Linked DNA regions of Arabidopsis thaliana. The protein of the gene in region 2 interacts with the protein of the main gene of each other region in a pairwise test. Each region holds a gene or a part of one and is shown on either strand. Other genes may lie near its edges.

Region 1 (3,594 bases), on a different chromosome or scaffold from region 2:
GTTCTCAATCAAGTTTTAAATAAGAAGGAGAAAAAGTCAACAAGGAAATGCACCAATCAATAAAGTGTCACCAAATATATGAGGAATTCCGATGATTAGCTAGCGTTTTGAAAATACTTCGGCTACTAGCTATGTTTTTGAGAAGTACGTACATGTGGTTGGTAAAAGAATACTGGAACATTGTCACTAGAACGTTCGTGATTGTACGCAGTATTCATGCCAGTTGATGTTGTGCACCATCAATGTTCATTATGTGAACCACCCAAAAAGGCAAAAACAATGGATCATCCACCTAACAATCCACCCCAATCTAGGTAGTTCTAAAATCACACGACTTACATCAAAGGAAAAGTTTCACATGTTTATCAATCACAGGTCACAGTATGTTTGAAAGAGATGATAGAAAAAAGATATCAAATTTGTCCCGTGTTGATAGGAAAGTTGGTTTGGTATCGTATTATAATTTTCTCTACACACACACGACTCATGTTTCATGTGTTAAAAAAAAAAAGCAATCGTTTTAATCCCTTCCAATTTATATAAATCTGCGGGCTCTGTTTTTATATAAAGAAAATTGGATCAGTTGTATGAACTTCGAACTGTGCAAAAAACTTCAAAATGGTTCAACTATTTTGTCAAGGCTTGTAAAATAAATAAAAATTAGCACACTGTTAAAATTTGTAGTATTATATTTAAAAAAAAAAAAGATCAAATTAAACAAAAGAAAAACGAAATTATCACGTCTTTTATTTATTATTATTTTAAATAAATAATATGACATTTTAAATTTTGTTTGGAAATTAATCACTTTCTGGCAGTACCTCTCAGCCGAATTGTAAACCTAAACCGCCCAAAAGGGACAGATTGCATCGTGGTGGTAGGACATTCATAAATTATTATTTTTCCTTAAGTGGAGGGCCGTCACACAATACTTTTTGCCCAATAGATAATTGGCCCACAAAATAAAATGCTAAAATAAATATATAATCTTTCTGTATGATTGTGAAAAAATGTGAGATTGTCTCGAATGTTAAAATTTGGTGCCACAAACAATATAAATATATAATCACAGAAAAATTGGTGCCACAAACAAGATAACATCTTATAATTTTCTCGTATACTTGGAGAGCGAGTTGAAAGAATTGCGATTAGAATAAAGCGTAGTGATTTGGCATTGAATATCATTTATGCTACATAATTCTACTTAGCGATAATATAAAAAAATATCATAACTTATGGTTAGCATGTAATGTCACTATACGAATATCAAATTCATAAAACTAGCCGTGACTTATCTACACAGAATTATTTATGTTTCGAGAATAAAGACCCAAGAGAAAACAACGACATTATAACAAAAAAACAACGACAGATTATAAGTAAGGAAGAAACAAATGACTATAGATTAGATATGAAATATTTTTAGTAACCATCTTTAGTTATAATTTTTGTTTTGGAGCTTGCTCCGTATACTCAGTTGAGTATTTTTACCACACATATATCAAGACTAAATTCTACCACTAATCAAGTAAAAACCTCTTAGCAAAATAGTTGGAGAAAAACAAGAATAAAATCGTATTATTTTCCTCTAGAACTATCGATCATTCGAGAGAGAGAATATGAAAAAGGGACAAAAGCTCTATACATGTACAAACATGACAAGTCATTATCCGCCACGTAGATTGGTCGGTTCCGCTTCGCTGGAATTATAGCGATGTACTTGTTTAGCCTGTTTTCAAAATTATTTAAATCTCTAACCGCTCCAATCAAATAATTTCTCCACCAAATATTAATAATATATCATCCGGTAACCGGTCACCAAAATGGCGCCACCTCAGATATAAGTAAGAGCACATAGTAGACCAGAAAAAATCATCAAATCCATCTCCCACTCTTCTAGCATCTTGAAGCTTAAATCTCAGCCGTCCGATCATGCCGATCAGAAACATCGCCATTGGCCGTCCAGATGAAGCCACCCGTCCCGATGCCTTAAAGGCGGCGTTGGCTGAGTTCATTTCAACTTTGATCTTTGTCGTCGCCGGTTCAGGCTCTGGCATGGCTTTCAACAAGCTCACTGAAAACGGAGCCACCACTCCTTCTGGTCTCGTAGCTGCTGCAGTGGCTCATGCCTTTGGACTCTTCGTCGCTGTCTCAGTTGGTGCCAACATCTCTGGTGGACACGTTAACCCTGCCGTCACTTTCGGTGCTTTCATTGGTGGTAACATCACTCTCCTCCGTGGTATCCTCTACTGGATTGCTCAGCTTCTCGGCTCCGTCGTCGCTTGCCTCATCCTTAAATTCGCCACCGGTGGCTTGGTATGTCAAACTACCCTTTAGCCCTTTATTAGATCTCTTTTTGGACCTAACTTCTTTGTCAAGTAACTAATTAACCTTTTGAAAATTTTAGGCTGTGCCGGCTTTTGGTCTCTCTGCTGGAGTAGGAGTGTTGAACGCTTTCGTTTTCGAGATCGTGATGACATTCGGGCTTGTTTACACCGTCTACGCTACAGCCATTGACCCCAAAAACGGGAGTCTTGGAACAATTGCTCCCATCGCAATCGGTTTCATTGTTGGAGCCAACATCTTAGCTGGAGGAGCTTTCTCTGGAGCCTCCATGAATCCCGCCGTGGCTTTCGGACCAGCGGTGGTGAGCTGGACATGGACCAACCACTGGGTCTACTGGGCCGGACCTCTCGTCGGCGGTGGAATCGCTGGACTCATCTACGAAGTTTTCTTCATCAACACCACACACGAGCAGCTCCCAACCACAGACTACTGAATTAATCTCTCTTTTTCTCTCTTGTGTAATTTTATTCGACTTTGAATTTGAATTTTAATGTCTTTTTAATTTCCGTTTGTGTAATTTCGAATCATCAAGGGGTTTATGATCGTTCGATCTTTTAGATGAATCCTTGTCCGTTGGTTTCAAGAGTGGCCATTGCAATTTCGACTATATAATGTGAATTATGTATCAATCTCATCTTAAGTTTTCAAGTGTTGCAATATCTCTTTTTGCCATTTTGTCAAACTTTTAAATTCCACATCAGTCTTATTACACATTAACTTTATTTATGACCGAATTTATAAGAAATGAGTAAACAAATTATGAGTAATAAAAAAATATGATATATAATTATATATATTTTTTAAAAAAACTAGAATTTGATACAAGTTTCGATCTATTTACGTCTAACAAAATTCACCATATCTTTAACAAAAAAAAAAAAAAAAAAAAAAAAGAAGAAGACAAATTAAATTCACCATATGTATATGTAAAAATTTGAAAGTTGGAATGGTTGGCGTTTTGCAATAAGGGAATAAAATGATATTGTAGGGGTCAGTCAGTGAGGGTTACTAGTCAATCAATACTCAATAGTGAATACGGCTTTTCTTTTTTTTATGTTGCTTTGTATTTGCATTTTGCAAAGGGTGTGAATTTAGAAAAATAAGATCCAATGAGAAAGATTAATCTGTTTTCCTTTTACTTATTTTAAGCAGTAAGATTGTTTTGCAATAGAGATCTCAAGTCTCAACCATACTTGTCAAACAGGTCCGACCAAAATCAAGACATGATTCGATGAGGTGCTAAGTTTG
Region 2 (4,287 bases):
GATTTTTGAACATTTTTGACTATATGACATCTTTTGTCTCACAAGATATTGTTGTTTAATTACTTTGATCATATGAAGATATTGTTTCTAGAATGCATATGGATGAACAACCATTAAGTATATGCGGTAATACTGATTATAGGAAAATACGTTATAGACAGTGTGATGAGAATTAGGAACACAATTGTGTTAATGAAAAAAATTTGTTAATTTTAACCAAAACACTATTAGATTCCTCGATAACCTTGCCCTTTTTCCTTGTCAAGATTACCTTAACCTAATTTTAAGTCGACGTAAATTAATTTTCACATAATTTGTTAATGATATTTGATATTCAAGATACAATGAAAAAATACTCTGAAATTTCACATAAATAAAACATAATCAAAACATAATAAACACTTGACAACAATTTTAGTCCAAAAGGAAATCAATTCTCTTTCGTTCATATACAAAGTAACAGTAAGTTGTAACTTAGAAAATTGATCGAAAATTTGACTTGGAAACCCTAATCATTTCTAAAAATATAAATATAAAATCTCTGAAATACGTAAATTATAATTTTTTTATCATGTTATTTATATTTGTTTGTTACTTCTATATTTACATTTGTATTTATTTTTATTTCATATAGTTTATATATATATATTTTTTTCTATTTACAGTTGTTAATTTTTTTTTTTGTTATAATATAATAAACGATCGACATAGCTCGTGATAAGATAATGTTATTTTTGTTCCCCATCATCCTTAAGCTATATTAATGGTCCACATTCTATAGAGGTGAAGCATGTGACATCGTATTATATCTATGCACAAACAATAAATTCTTATCCCAAAATTAATAAACACTAATAAAAAATATTCTCTTTAAACTAATTATTATTTTCTGTTAAGTTCTCTTGAAACTAATTATGAAAGCAAGCCTTTTTTTTTGCCAAACTATAATTTTCCCCTCGATTATATGATCAATAGAGTGGTCCAATAAATTGTTTTGAAGTTTAGAAATAAGCATTAAGTAGGTATAATATTCTATATAATTCTTCTCACTTTATTGCAAGCATCAACATCGTCCCAAGTTTTATATAAAATGGTCCATAAAATTTTAAATCTTAGTATTTCGTAACAACTTGATACCAACCTCTCTGTATAGCTGCTTAATTTTCTGGTATATGATCTGTGTCCATCCCTACTAGCTTACTACTTTACTACTACTTCGAGCAGTTACTTATTTGATTTTGTAAAGAATCCATTTCGTTTTTTTTTTTTGGCACATGAAAATTACCCATAATGGTCAAATTCAATACTATTAAAAGTGAGGAAGAAACGACATGAGTCAATTTGTTACACTGGTTTATTATTTAAAGAATAGAAATCCCAAAAACGTCTCAAGTTTCAACTCTTTCTATGCTGAGTTGTATTGTATGTATGTATCTAAGTATCTAACTATAAATTAAACGAAATACAGACAATAAATTAATCGTGAATAAAAAAAATTCTTAATAAACATCCAAATATCAATATTTTCTTGGAAACTTATCTCCAAATGGAAACAAAAATCCTAATAAACGTAACCATGATTAAAAGAAAAGAGTTGCATAAACATCCAAAGAAAAACAATACTATTATATATATAAAAAATCCAAATCAACATGAAGAAAGTAAAATGATTCCAAATAGACATCCAAAAATCATATTTTCTTTAAACTTTTTTTATTGGTTTTCCACAAATGAAAATAGAATAAAATAGTGTCTCTGAATTAAGACGGAGTCGTAACAAATGACATAATGGCCGGTCAAATAAACCGCCAAAATTGTTCTGTTATAATTAAGACTAATTTCTGAGTCAAAAAACTTCTCTTGTTCCCTTAAGGGCCTTAATCACTATTAACCTTAACTAGTGACTTAATCTCAAACTTATAACACACCTTTCACACATCAACAACACCTTCTTCATCATCTCCTTTCTCTGTCTCTGTCTCTCTCTTCTCTCTCAAACCTGTAATCATGGCAGCTCCTTTGTTGATGATCATCAAGAACCAAACAGATCACCGACAAGATCCGAATCCGAACCCGACCCACCTTTCCTCTTCGATCCAAGAAGCCAAATCAATCGCCAAAATATCTCTCCCACTGATCTTAACCGGTTTACTTCTCTACTCTCGCTCAATGATCTCAATGCTCTTCCTCGGCCGTCTCAACGATCTCTCTGCTCTTTCCGGTGGCTCACTCGCCCTCGGCTTCGCTAACATCACGGGTTACTCTCTCCTCTCCGGTCTCTCTATCGGCATGGAACCCATCTGCGTTCAAGCCTTTGGCGCCAAAAGATTCAAACTTTTAGGCCTTGCTTTGCAAAGAACCACACTTTTGCTTCTCCTCTGTTCTCTTCCCATATCTATCCTCTGGCTCAACATCAAGAAGATCCTTCTCTTCTTCGGACAAGACGAAGAAATCTCAAACCAAGCTGAGATCTTTATCCTCTTCTCTCTCCCTGATCTGATCCTCCAATCTTTTTTACATCCTATCCGTATCTACCTCCGATCTCAATCGATCACTCTTCCTCTAACCTACTCTGCTTTCTTCGCAGTATTACTCCACATTCCGATTAACTACCTTCTCGTTTCTTCTCTCGGTCTCGGCCTTAAAGGAGTCGCCTTGGGAGCAATCTGGACTAATGTCAATCTCCTAGGGTTTCTAATCATCTACATAGTGTTTTCCGGTGTTTACCAGAAGACTTGGGGAGGATTCTCAATGGATTGCTTTAAAGGATGGAGATCTCTAATGAAACTAGCCATCCCTAGCTGCGTCTCGGTTTGTTTAGAGTGGTGGTGGTATGAAATCATGATTCTTCTATGTGGATTGTTACTTAACCCGCAAGCAACCGTGGCATCTATGGGAATCTTGATCCAAACCACCGCTTTGATCTACATTTTCCCTTCCTCTCTGAGTATCAGCGTATCGACACGTGTCGGGAATGAATTAGGTGCGAATCAGCCTGATAAAGCGAGGATAGCTGCGAGAACCGGACTTAGTTTAAGCCTTGGTTTAGGTTTATTGGCAATGTTTTTCGCTTTGATGGTGAGGAATTGCTGGGCAAGATTGTTCACAGATGAGGAAGAGATTGTGAAGTTGACTTCAATGGTTTTACCGATCATCGGGCTTTGCGAGCTAGGAAACTGTCCTCAGACCACATTGTGTGGAGTGTTGAGAGGAAGTGCGAGACCTAAGTTAGGAGCAAACATAAACTTGTGTTGTTTCTACTTTGTGGGAATGCCAGTGGCTGTATGGTTAAGTTTCTTTAGCGGGTTTGACTTCAAAGGACTATGGCTCGGTCTATTTGCAGCACAAGGCTCGTGCCTGATTTCGATGCTGGTCGTGTTGGCTAGGACTGATTGGGAAGTTGAGGTTCATAGAGCAAAAGAACTCATGACTAGATCATGTGATGGTGATGAAGATGATGGTAATACACCGTTTTTATTGGATTCTTTGGATATAGAAGAAAATCTTGTCTTCTAGTTTTGATTTATTGGCACTAACGAGATTCGTTTCATTGTACACTCTTCTAATTCATTATTCTAGGAGGAAACATTTGATTGTTGGATTTTCAAATTTATGTTGTGAGATATATATTGGATTTTTTTTAAAATGTAATGTTGTTGATTTGATTTGATTGTAAAAATATACTTTATTAGTATTAAACCTCATGTCATTTCAAAAAAAATATCATGGGAGTGATTTGTTGTCATGAGAATGACTTTAGAAATTGAATGTGTAAACATAAAACTATCCTTTTCAAGTGGTTCGAGTGTAATATATATGAATCTGGTTAAGCAATTAAAGGACAAGATAGAAGTTGGTTTCGTTGCCGGGAAATTCTTATGCAACAAGAAAATAAAAATAATTATTAAACACCATGTTTAGTGGTCCTCCATAGGCGCGTGACGTTTAAGGCGCGTGTAAGTAACGTAACGGAAAGAGTTGTGAAACTTTGACGACGGCGAGAAAATACTAATGTCTCCGTCAAGGTCGTCGTTTGTGACAGCCGACGCCGTGAATGACCCGGTCTCTTTGTCGTCTTCTTCGTTTACTCTCTTTTCTTCCACTAACCCGACCCGTTTCAGTGTATGTTTTTCTTTGGGGTGTTAAATTCACATGAGGTGACAAAATACCAAATTAGAGTTCAAATCTGAATAACAAAATTGTGTCCACTTGGTTATAACTTATTATAAGAATATGATATTTTGCATTATAGACTATTAAAAATGTAACAAACTTCATGGTGTGGTG
Region 3 (3,507 bases), on a different chromosome or scaffold from region 2:
ATCAAGACACATCCAAACCCGCCTCCACCGTCCCCTCCTGGCCCTACAAAATGCAACCTTTTCACGTATTGTTCATCTGGAGAGACTTGTTGCTGTGCAAGAGAATTGTTTGGTTTATGCTTCTCATGGAAATGCTGCGAGATAGAATCCGCTGTGTGTTGCAAGGATGGTCGTCATTGTTGTCCACATGATTACCCTGTTTGTGATACAACCAGAAGTCTCTGCCTTAAGGTATTTTAGCTGTGGATATATGCATACTGATCACGATGCCTACTTCTATGTTTTGTTGACTGATGAAGCTATTTCTTTTCTGACAGAAAACTGGTAATTTCACTGCGATCAAGCCCTTCTGGAAGAAGAATTCTTCAAAACAACTTGGCCGATTTGAGGAATGGGTTATGTGAGAGAAGTTTTACGCACATGTTACAGAAAATTCAAACTCATCCATACAAAAACCTCGTAGATTCGATTATCTGCGAGGGGATTATTTGTAGCTGTTATTGAGATAGATATATACGATATCATCACGGATGTATTTTTAGTCTCTCATTTGGATGTATACAACTTCTGAGTCAATAAAGGACACTTGCAGGACAAGCACAGTATTTGTATCTGCAAGACACATAAAGTAATAAGAGTATCATCTATGTATATTATAGAGAGACTAAGCTTCACTGTTGTTGTTCTCTCTCTTGTTCAGTTCTGCGATCTCCTTCTTCTTTTTTGTGTGCAGGGAGTAGAAGTAAGAAGCTAGAGCCAAGACCGCCCCTAGCAAAGCACCTCTTCTCTGCCAACCAAATTCATCGTCCATGAAATCAAAAGCCAACACAACTAGCAGAGCCACAACCGGTGAAGCACCCATATGAACAACATCAGCGAATAAACCGGACACCAAAAGCACCAAACCTAACAGCCCGACCGCCCAAACCTGCCAAGAGAGAGCCAACCCGACCAAACTCAGAATGTAGTAAGTCTTCCCTTTCTTAAACCTCTCGCTGTCGCCTTTTAACTCCTTAAACTCACCACTCGCAAACAGACCCACAGTGCAAATGAGTGTGGCGATGAAGGAAACACAGATTTGCATCTCCAAGACCATCCGAAAGACCTTCTTGTTACCATACCTCTTTGTCTTCACCAACACTTTGTCGAATCCGAGCTGCATTAAGCACAGAGACAAGGAGAAAGCAAGAGTAGGGAATATGAGTATCAACCATGCCTTGATGTCGTAAGGATCAGTTTCATCTTCATTAGGGGTTCCAGCAAAGGCAGGGCCACCAAAAAAGTCAGCCCCAAGAGTGAAGATTATCGATATGATGATCCATCTGTTAAACTTGAGACGGTTTATGAAAGCTGAGAAGAGGGAGGTGAGTATCAATTGAGTTGATAACAAAATTCCCCATCCTACGTATAATTTCCCCAGCGCGTATAACTTGCTATAAACAGAGACAAGAACACCAAGAGAAACGTAGAGCGAGAGAACTCGAAACCAGCCATTGTTTGTTTGATTGGAGACTGTTTCCGGGTTTGGTTTTGGTGAAGAAAGAATGAAGAAGAATGGAATTAAGATCGGAAAGGCAGCGTTTTGGATCAGAGCTTGTGTCCATGTCCCTTTGTATTGTCGGTCTTGATCACTCTCTGATCGATTATCTTGGACGTAGAAGAAGTTCAACAGAAGCATGACAAGAGAGTCTCCGGCAAAGATCAAGAAACCGCAGATAAAAACAGAGATCCACCATTTGCGTTGATTGAGCTCCAAGGATCGAGGATTCTCGCTCATCATTTGGCCGCGTGGTTCTGGACCTTGAAACTCTTCCATGAGTCTCTGCTTCTTCTTCTTCTTCTTCTTTGGATTGTCCAAATATGTATATAAAGTAATCTTATAAACCCTAGAGGCTGGAGCTCATTCTCATGATTGTTTAACGTGCAAACACACATTTTAATCTGGAAAGATAAAGAAGAGACGAAGTCTTGGTCACGAAATGGTCATGCTTTTGACTCAACGTTGCTTGATTAGGTCTCATCACATTTTTCTAATGAGTACATTATCTGTTAAGATTGGTTATTATATGATATCAAAGAGCATATTTGGCGGCAAAGGAGAAGACAAAGACAGCTAACAGGTTTAAATCGGTCCAACCGTAAAACCGACTTCAACCGGAACTGAACCAAAAAATTACAAAAATCTTGGAGATCCAAAAGACTTAAACCAAAAGACGTGTGAAGGGTCAACACGTGGCGTGAAAGGAGCAAACTCGTGTGAATCGAAGCAGTGGAACAGTGGCTTGTGGCTTGATTAATCGGAAACTTGAAAGCTTCCTCCTGAAGGAATTTAGAAAGCGTGAGAGATGGCGACGAAGACTGTTTGGATCATACTGTTGTGTCTATTTGTTGTTTCCCAGGCAGATCAGGGTTTCGATGTTCGTCATCACCTCTCCACCGTCACCAGGTTCTTTCTCAATCCTTCTTATTTCGTGGTTCCCGAGGAAGTTGAATTAAGAACAACACTTTATCATCTGGGTCTAATTGGTCCGATTGCTTGACAACATTGATACCACTTTGTCAGAAAAAGGTGGAAATTTGTGTTGTTCTCTTTAGCGAGGTCTAATTATTTTTTGGGGGAATTTGAATTTGGTGTGCAGATACTCTACTTCGAAAGATGTTACCCAAAATTTGATTGAAGGGTCGAATGTTCCTAGTGAGTGTACACCTATCCACCTTAACCTTGTGGTAAGCGTAGTTTATTTGGGTTAAATGGAATGGCAATGAGGGAGAATAAAGACTGAAATAGTGGTTTTTGACATGTTAGGCTAGGCATGGAACTCGTTCTCCGACCAAGAAACGATTGCGGGAATTGGAAAGTTTGGCTGGTAGGTTTAAGGAACTGGTAAGAGATGCAGAAGCTAGGAAATTGCCTTCAGACAAAATTCCTGGATGGTTGGGACAATGGAAATCTCCTTGGGAAGGAAAAGTGAAAGGTGGGGAGCTGATCAGGCAAGGGGAGGATGAGTTATACCAACTGGGAATTCGGGTTCGGGAACGGTTTCCTAGTTTGTTTGAAGAGGATTACCATCCTGATGTCTATACAATAAGAGCTACGCAGGTTGGTGGATTTTGAATCTTTTTATGTCTGTTTCTGCTCAGCAAAATTTGAGATGATGTGAACGCTAGAATTTGGTTGCAAGCATTGGCCTGAAATGTTTAAATCTCTTGGTAGATTCCTAGGGCATCTGCAAGTGCTGTAGCATTTGGAATGGGGTTATTCAGTGAGAAAGGAAATCTGGGACCAGGCCGTAATAGAGCATTCGCTGTCACTAGCGAAAACCGTGCCAGTGATACAAAGTTGAGATTTTTTGAATGTTGTCAAAACTACAAGGTATAGTTGATTGAATGAATCTAAATATATTTTTTATTGTAGGCTCATCCTCGATATAGTAGTCGCTCAGTTTATTCGATTCTGAGCATTTCTTTCCTTTACATGGTCTATGATTGCAGAGCTATAGAAAAGCT
Region 4 (5,955 bases), on a different chromosome or scaffold from region 2:
AATAGTTTTAGCCGCCTTGGTGTTGATGGAAGAACCTACGAGCATTACCGCATGTAACATCAACGCAAACCATCTGGAAAAATGTCGTCCAGCCGTAATTGGAGACAACCCGCCATCTCCAATCAAAGAGTGTTGTGAACTCCTCCAAGCCGCTAATCTGAAATGCATCTGCAGATTCAAGTCTGTTCTCCCCGTTTTAGCGGTTTACCCATCTAAAGTCCAGGCTCTTCTGAGCAAATGTGGCCTGACAACAATCCCTCCTGCTTGCCAAGGTAAAATCAAAATACCATTAAGATACTAAAAACCGGTAGACTAGTAGGATCCCAATATGAAGTATGAAGTAAAAAAGGCTTACGTTTTGCTGTTCTGTAAGTGCAGCTTTGAGGAACTGAGATGGAGACAGACCGTTCTAGCAGACTTCACTCGAACTTGTCCTGCAACTGATCTGAAGTCTTACAATATGTCTTATGTTCCGATCCAAATAAATTACAAACTCGCAGTAATAATCGCAGCTTGTGTATATAGAAGAACCTTGTTGTATACATTTAACAAAAACTTTAAGAAACTGTTTTAGCTAAACCAACTATCCTACTTTCTTGACTATAAAAAAAACTAACTCATCATGATTTCCCCGCGGAGAACCCGGATCAATTCTGCAACACAAAAAGAGAGAATTGTTCGCTTATCATGATGAATATTGTAGGCACCTCTTCCCGGATGTACTTATTAATTCCGGTTACACATTATTGATCAAGTGAGGTGCGTTTGCTGCAAAATGTATAAATTTGTGTGGTAATAATGGAGGGTATACCTAGCATTCTGGTTGGTTTTCTCGACGAGGTCCACCGAAGATAGGCCTCATGTATGTGTCGTCAAACTTTCTCCAGTAGCGGTGGATGGTGTACACAGGTTGTTCCATCAGAAGGGAAATACTATCTTTAGCTCTATTGAAGTTGGTGGAAGCAGACTCGTCAAAGGAAAGAAGAGGAAGTGTCGCATCTTCTTTCGGAGAACCTGGCTCAGTGCGTTTACCTCTATTTCCGGTGTTGTGACTTGCATCTTGAGGAAGGAGATAATTCACAAGTGGTTTTGTGAGGAAACCAAAGACCTGTTTGTTACATGACAAAGAAGTCATTCTTTTGATCTTAACACAGAAAACTACCAGAACCAGTAGGGCCATATACTAAGGTAGTATTTGTTTTACCAGTGTAGTAAAGAGAACAACGATAGTGGTGTTGGTGACCATGGCAGCATTCACAGGATCCAATGTAACACCGGAGTATGTGAACTTGGCACATGAAAGATATACCAAAATGAGATATAATGGAAATGTTACTAATTCAATGTAAAAGTAATACAATAGAGATTAGAGATAATATGAATGTGCAAAGAGAAAAACCTGCTTGAAAGCCAGAGCAATTGAGACAGCACCTCGCATTAGACCTGCCCACCAAATGATCACCTATAAAGTATACAAAGAGAGAATTATATAACAGAAACTTTCCCATTCTCGGACCATTATTAATTTTTTATTTTAGTGCTTCTGATAATGTAACTGTAACAAACAAGAGCTAAACCTGATGCTTAAATGTGATAGACTCGTTTCTTTCAGTGTGCCTGTTCATGAAATTTGTTAAGACCGAGAGTGGAAAGACAAATGCTGCTCGTCCAAGCAATACTAATGCGGTTATGACACCGGAGACACCCAGAGTACCCCCAAAGCTGCAAGAAGATGATTAATGTTACAAGTCTTCATTGGGAAGAGATTTCAGAAACAACGAGTCACCACCACAGCTTAACTAACAGTTAATTGGCGATTAACTTCGTGTCAAGAGAGAAGAAGACATAGAGGATGTCTTTGGGATAATCTTGATTCTAGGTATGCATTTAAGAAATACACGAGGTTCATATCAAAATGCTGTGTATTGTTTTGACAAAACACTCTAAACGCTCTACCAGCTGATAAATGGATACGACTTTATACCTTAAGCTGCTTGTCTTCCACTTTGTAAAATCAAGAGCATCTGTTCCAACATACAGAAATATGAATGTCTCCGCAATAAAGGACAACATTGCAAATACATGCCTGCAAAATATAGATGCACAGTCAGACAAAAGCAATTCCTGCAAATTGAGACTTCAGCGAATAAACAATTGTCTGATACATTGCCTGGAAGTGATTCTTGAGCTCTCTGTCACGTTATATGATGCATAATGCGACATTAAAACACCACAGAAGAAAACAGTAAGAATTCCACTTAATGAGAAGAGCTGCAAGAGAACAACTATATTGAGTTAAAACAGAGAAATGCAGCACTTCAATTCCAAATGAAAACTAAAAAGTAGCGTTCATGACCAGTGTATTACCTCAGCCAACATATATGAAAGGTAAGCCATTAGAACCATGATGGCGAGTTCGCGTGTAGTAGAATGTCTGTCAGCAACCATATAACAAGATCAATATAAAGGCACATCTTATCACTAAAAAAAAAAAACTTAAGCTTGAGATGAAAAATTTGCAAGTTTGGTGTACTTTTACCTTCCAAAATACAAGGTTTTAAGAACAAAAGATGTTATTAGCCCCACCTGCAAGACATTCACAGTTCTAAGATTACTCATGATATGCTTCAAACAGAGTAAAAAACTATGCCAACTCAATAGCTTACACCAATTCCGAGAAGTGTGCTTGTTGAGAAGAGGTACAAAAAGTTCCCAAATACTTGCAGCGCCGTCCAACCGGTTAGGCTTTCAAATTGAATCTTTTGCACGGCGTTGAACAGTACAACTGAGGTTGCATCATTCACCACTCCTTCTCCAAAGACTAAGCTGTATAGCAATGGTGTTTCATCTTGATGGAGAATCTGTAAAAGTTTAAGATGCAATGTAAGAAAAAACTTTTAATAGAAGAAGTAGTAAGACAAAGAATCTTCTAAATCAAGAACCTGTAGAGTGCAAACAGTATCAGTTGATGAGAAAATCGTTCCTATGGCTGAATCAAAACAAGAAAGCATTCACTCTCGCAAACTGATAAGTAATAACCATCTCAACAAGAAATGAAAAGAAACATAGATCAGTGAAAAATCTTACCAAGATAGTCTCTAGCACTCAACCCCTTAAATCCCAACTTGGGAAACAGCCACCAAGTCCCTGGTTCACATTATAAAAACAACAAAAATAGAGATGGTAACAACTCCGAGATAATCAACTTTAAATCATATAGTCAAGTCATTCAAAGATTAATGAAATATTTTTTACCAAACGAGATAATGACAGTGGAGATGAAAACTCCAATCACACCAAAGGACATGATGGTTAAAAAGTTGTGAAAAAACTTCTTTTTCTTAACTTGGAACCTGCCACAACAAACCAAAAAATCTTCAGTCAATCACCATCATAGTGTAATCTAACCCATTAACCACAACATAGTAACCAAAACCATAGTAAGCTTACCCAGCATTGAAGATTATTGGAGGAAGAAGGTAAATGAAGAAGAGTTCTTCATCAAACACCAAAATATGTGAACTTTTTCCTTTACTAATAAGTAAGATCACTGTTCCTGATGCTGCTCCCTACTTGCAACAAAACCAATCAAAAATAGTGATAAAATTGTTCTTTAAGAGCAGAAAAGCTCAAAACTTTAGCTAAAACAAAAAAAAGAAGAAATTTTGAAGAAAATTACTACTAAAATGGCGGTAATAGATTCATTAACCCATCGATTCTCTTCAAGCAAGTGGCCGATAACTAAACATAGACAGAGAATGGCGATGAACACTGAGATTGGTATCACCTGAGGATGCTCAGCTGCTAGTTTATTCGTCACAAACTCTGTTAATCCGATACTCATTTTTCACTCGATAATGTTTTCGATTTCGTCGATTTTGAAAACACCAATCGCAAACGAAGAAGGCACACAGAGAACGATAGAGAGAGAGACGAGGAAAGAGTCAGAGAGTGAGGAGAGATTTGAACTGCGATGAACAAGGCGGTGGTTACAGGTGGCGAGGAGACGAAAGACACGTGGCATGTTTCCAACGTCATCAGACTGAGTAAACGTGAGGCTTTTTGGAATTGTACTGCATCTTGGGCCTTTTTAGGGCCCAAAACTAACTCATCATGTATTTTTTTCTTACCGGATTTGGGGATTTTTTTCTTTTTTCTTTTTTGGGTCTAACTAACTCGCGTAAATTGTTGTTCTTTTTCCTTAATTTATTTTTACCTCTTGTTCTTTATTCTGTTTATATAAAATTATGAAACTTGAAAACTCAATATTTATTACAACGAATTATTTGGTGAAGACTCGAACCAATCGAAATAAAACACTCTACTGAGTAACGGTCCCGGTTGCAACAGCCAAGACGCTAGAACGTGATCGTTTCGTTTGGTCGTGTTTTGATGACGTAAAAAGTGACTCAGCGACCTATTTCACCACGTGTAATCTTTAACGACCATGTTCTAGGACCTACCTGACTTTTAATCGATCATCCACCACCGCCTTCTCAACATTTTTTAAGATACTAGTATCATTATAGCTATAATATAAATTAAGAAACTTGTAAATATTATAATTAACGTGAAAACATAGAATTCGGATATATAATGTGTATATTAGATAAATAATAAATCTGCTCATATGTGATATGTATATGCATATATCATATATGTAAATGTAGCCATTATTGGAATGCGTATTGGGTAATGGGTAGTATCACTAGAATGATACAATTTTTCTTATATACAGAGAAGAGAAGAGGAAACAAGAAAAACAAATACGTTCCCCGCAGTAGACTTTTTATTTGTTGGTACCGTAGAGGAAAACAGATATACACCAATTACTATAGGAGTGATTAAGGGAGAAATTGCAGGGATATAATTGATATCTAATAGCCGTTTCTACACTAATCCTAATTATAACAAGACCAATGATTGACACATGTATATTGCAATTGCATGCATTATATAGTTTATTATTATGCTTGCTTATAGTTTAGCTGGTTTTGGAAACAAGTAGGTAGTAATAAAGAAAAACAAAGAGAGAGTAGGTCGTAATAAATGAAGAACGCATAACTATAAAAAATAAATACACAAATATATGTAAAACAATTGTTTGGTTTCTCTAGGTTGGAGACAACCAATCAAAAAATTATATTCTAATTTAAAATAAAACTTATTTAGTTATCCCATGAAAATTAAACTCTTGTATTCTCAAAAAAAAATTGAGTCAAAATTACACTCCCAATATTTTCTGTCTGCAATAAAGATATGGAGACACATTGAAAAACATTTTAGTTTATTTATGAAAAACCAAAAAAATAAAATTTTAGTTGATGTTTTCTTTTTAAAGTGGAAAAATGTGTCAAAAACAAAAAGTCGAAGTTCTTTTGTTTTCCCTTTTAAAATAATCAACGATCATATAAATTCGAATCCCACAAACCAAAAAGCTCTCTCTCTCTCTCTCTCTCTCTCTCTCTCTGAGTAAATCTCAGTTTTTGGTCGAAGTTGGTGAAGTCGCCGCCGGGACAACTCAGGTTGTTACAGATGATAAACATGCGAGATAATCCAACAATGCATGTCTTACAAGCTTCAAAGTTTCTATTTTTAGCTCTTATTTTGATCCAGTTGCTGTCTACTCAACTCTTTGCTCAAAGATCTAAAAGTCCATGGCAAACACTCACTGGTTAGTGTCTTCTATCTCCTTCTTCTCCTATTTATTCAATACCCTTCACTGTTAATCAATAAATCAGTAGAAAAGTTGCTTCCTTTTGAATCGTTTCATAGAAATCAAAGAGAAAAATTTGGGGGTTTTCTGAGTTTCATCCAAAGAAAAATCGAAGCTTTCTTATAGGTTTCATCGGATTTTGTTTCCATTTTTGTAGGAGATGCTCCCCTTGTCATTGCTCGTGGTGGGTTTTCTGGGTTGTTGCCAGATTCAAGTCTCGATGCTTACAGTTTTGTATC

The links.
Region 1: the proteins of AT4G23030 (region 2) and GAMMA-TIP interact in a protein complementation assay, tested with the Arabidopsis thaliana proteins (one large-scale study listed by BioGRID).
Region 3: the proteins of AT4G23030 (region 2) and PUP16 interact in a protein complementation assay, tested with the Arabidopsis thaliana proteins (one large-scale study listed by BioGRID).
Region 4: the proteins of AT4G23030 (region 2) and NHX3 interact in a protein complementation assay, tested with the Arabidopsis thaliana proteins (one large-scale study listed by BioGRID).

What each region holds. Positions count from the first base shown.
Region 1 is NC_003071.7:15,443,558-15,447,151, forward strand, and holds GAMMA-TIP (gamma tonoplast intrinsic protein), read left to right. Parts: upstream 1-1,736; 5' UTR 1,737-1,932; coding exon 1,933-2,316; intron 2,317-2,407; coding exon 2,408-2,779; 3' UTR 2,780-3,064; downstream 3,065-3,594. UniProt on the Arabidopsis thaliana protein: Water channel required to facilitate the transport of water, diffusion of amino acids and/or peptides from the vacuolar compartment to the cytoplasm. Does not promote glycerol permeability. May play a role in the control of cell turgor and cell expansion.
Region 2 is NC_003075.7:12,070,850-12,075,136, forward strand, and holds AT4G23030 (MATE efflux family protein), read left to right. Parts: upstream 1-1,910; 5' UTR 1,911-2,007; coding exon 2,008-3,516; 3' UTR 3,517-3,731; downstream 3,732-4,287.
Region 3 is NC_003070.9:3,203,472-3,206,978, forward strand, and holds PUP16 (purine permease 16), read right to left. Parts: upstream 1,839-3,507; 5' UTR 1,817-1,838; coding exon 665-1,816; 3' UTR 545-664; downstream 1-544. Other genes in the region: XBCP3 (xylem bark cysteine peptidase 3), read left to right, coding at 1-231, 318-404; AT1G09870 (histidine acid phosphatase family protein), read left to right, coding at 2,346-2,446, 2,640-2,727, 2,807-3,100, 3,215-3,373, 3,493-3,507.
Region 4 is NC_003076.8:22,468,742-22,474,696, forward strand, and holds NHX3 (Na+/H+ (sodium hydrogen) exchanger 3), read right to left. Parts: upstream 3,966-5,955; 5' UTR 3,845-3,965; coding exon 3,680-3,844; intron 3,570-3,679; coding exon 3,451-3,569; intron 3,354-3,450; coding exon 3,256-3,353; intron 3,148-3,255; coding exon 3,088-3,147; intron 2,990-3,087; coding exon 2,943-2,989; intron 2,862-2,942; coding exon 2,667-2,861; intron 2,587-2,666; coding exon 2,540-2,586; intron 2,435-2,539; coding exon 2,368-2,434; intron 2,272-2,367; coding exon 2,171-2,271; intron 2,087-2,170; coding exon 1,985-2,086; intron 1,723-1,984; coding exon 1,578-1,722; intron 1,463-1,577; coding exon 1,400-1,462; intron 1,289-1,399; coding exon 1,205-1,288; intron 1,109-1,204; coding exon 812-1,108; intron 654-811; 3' UTR 504-653; downstream 1-503. Other genes in the region: AT5G55460 (Bifunctional inhibitor/lipid-transfer protein/seed storage 2S albumin superfamily protein), read left to right, coding at 1-272, 379-392; SVL1 (SHV3-like 1), read left to right, coding at 5,536-5,674, 5,874-5,955. UniProt on the Arabidopsis thaliana protein: May act in low affinity electroneutral exchange of protons for cations such as Na(+) or K(+) across membranes. May also exchange Li(+) and Cs(+) with a lower affinity.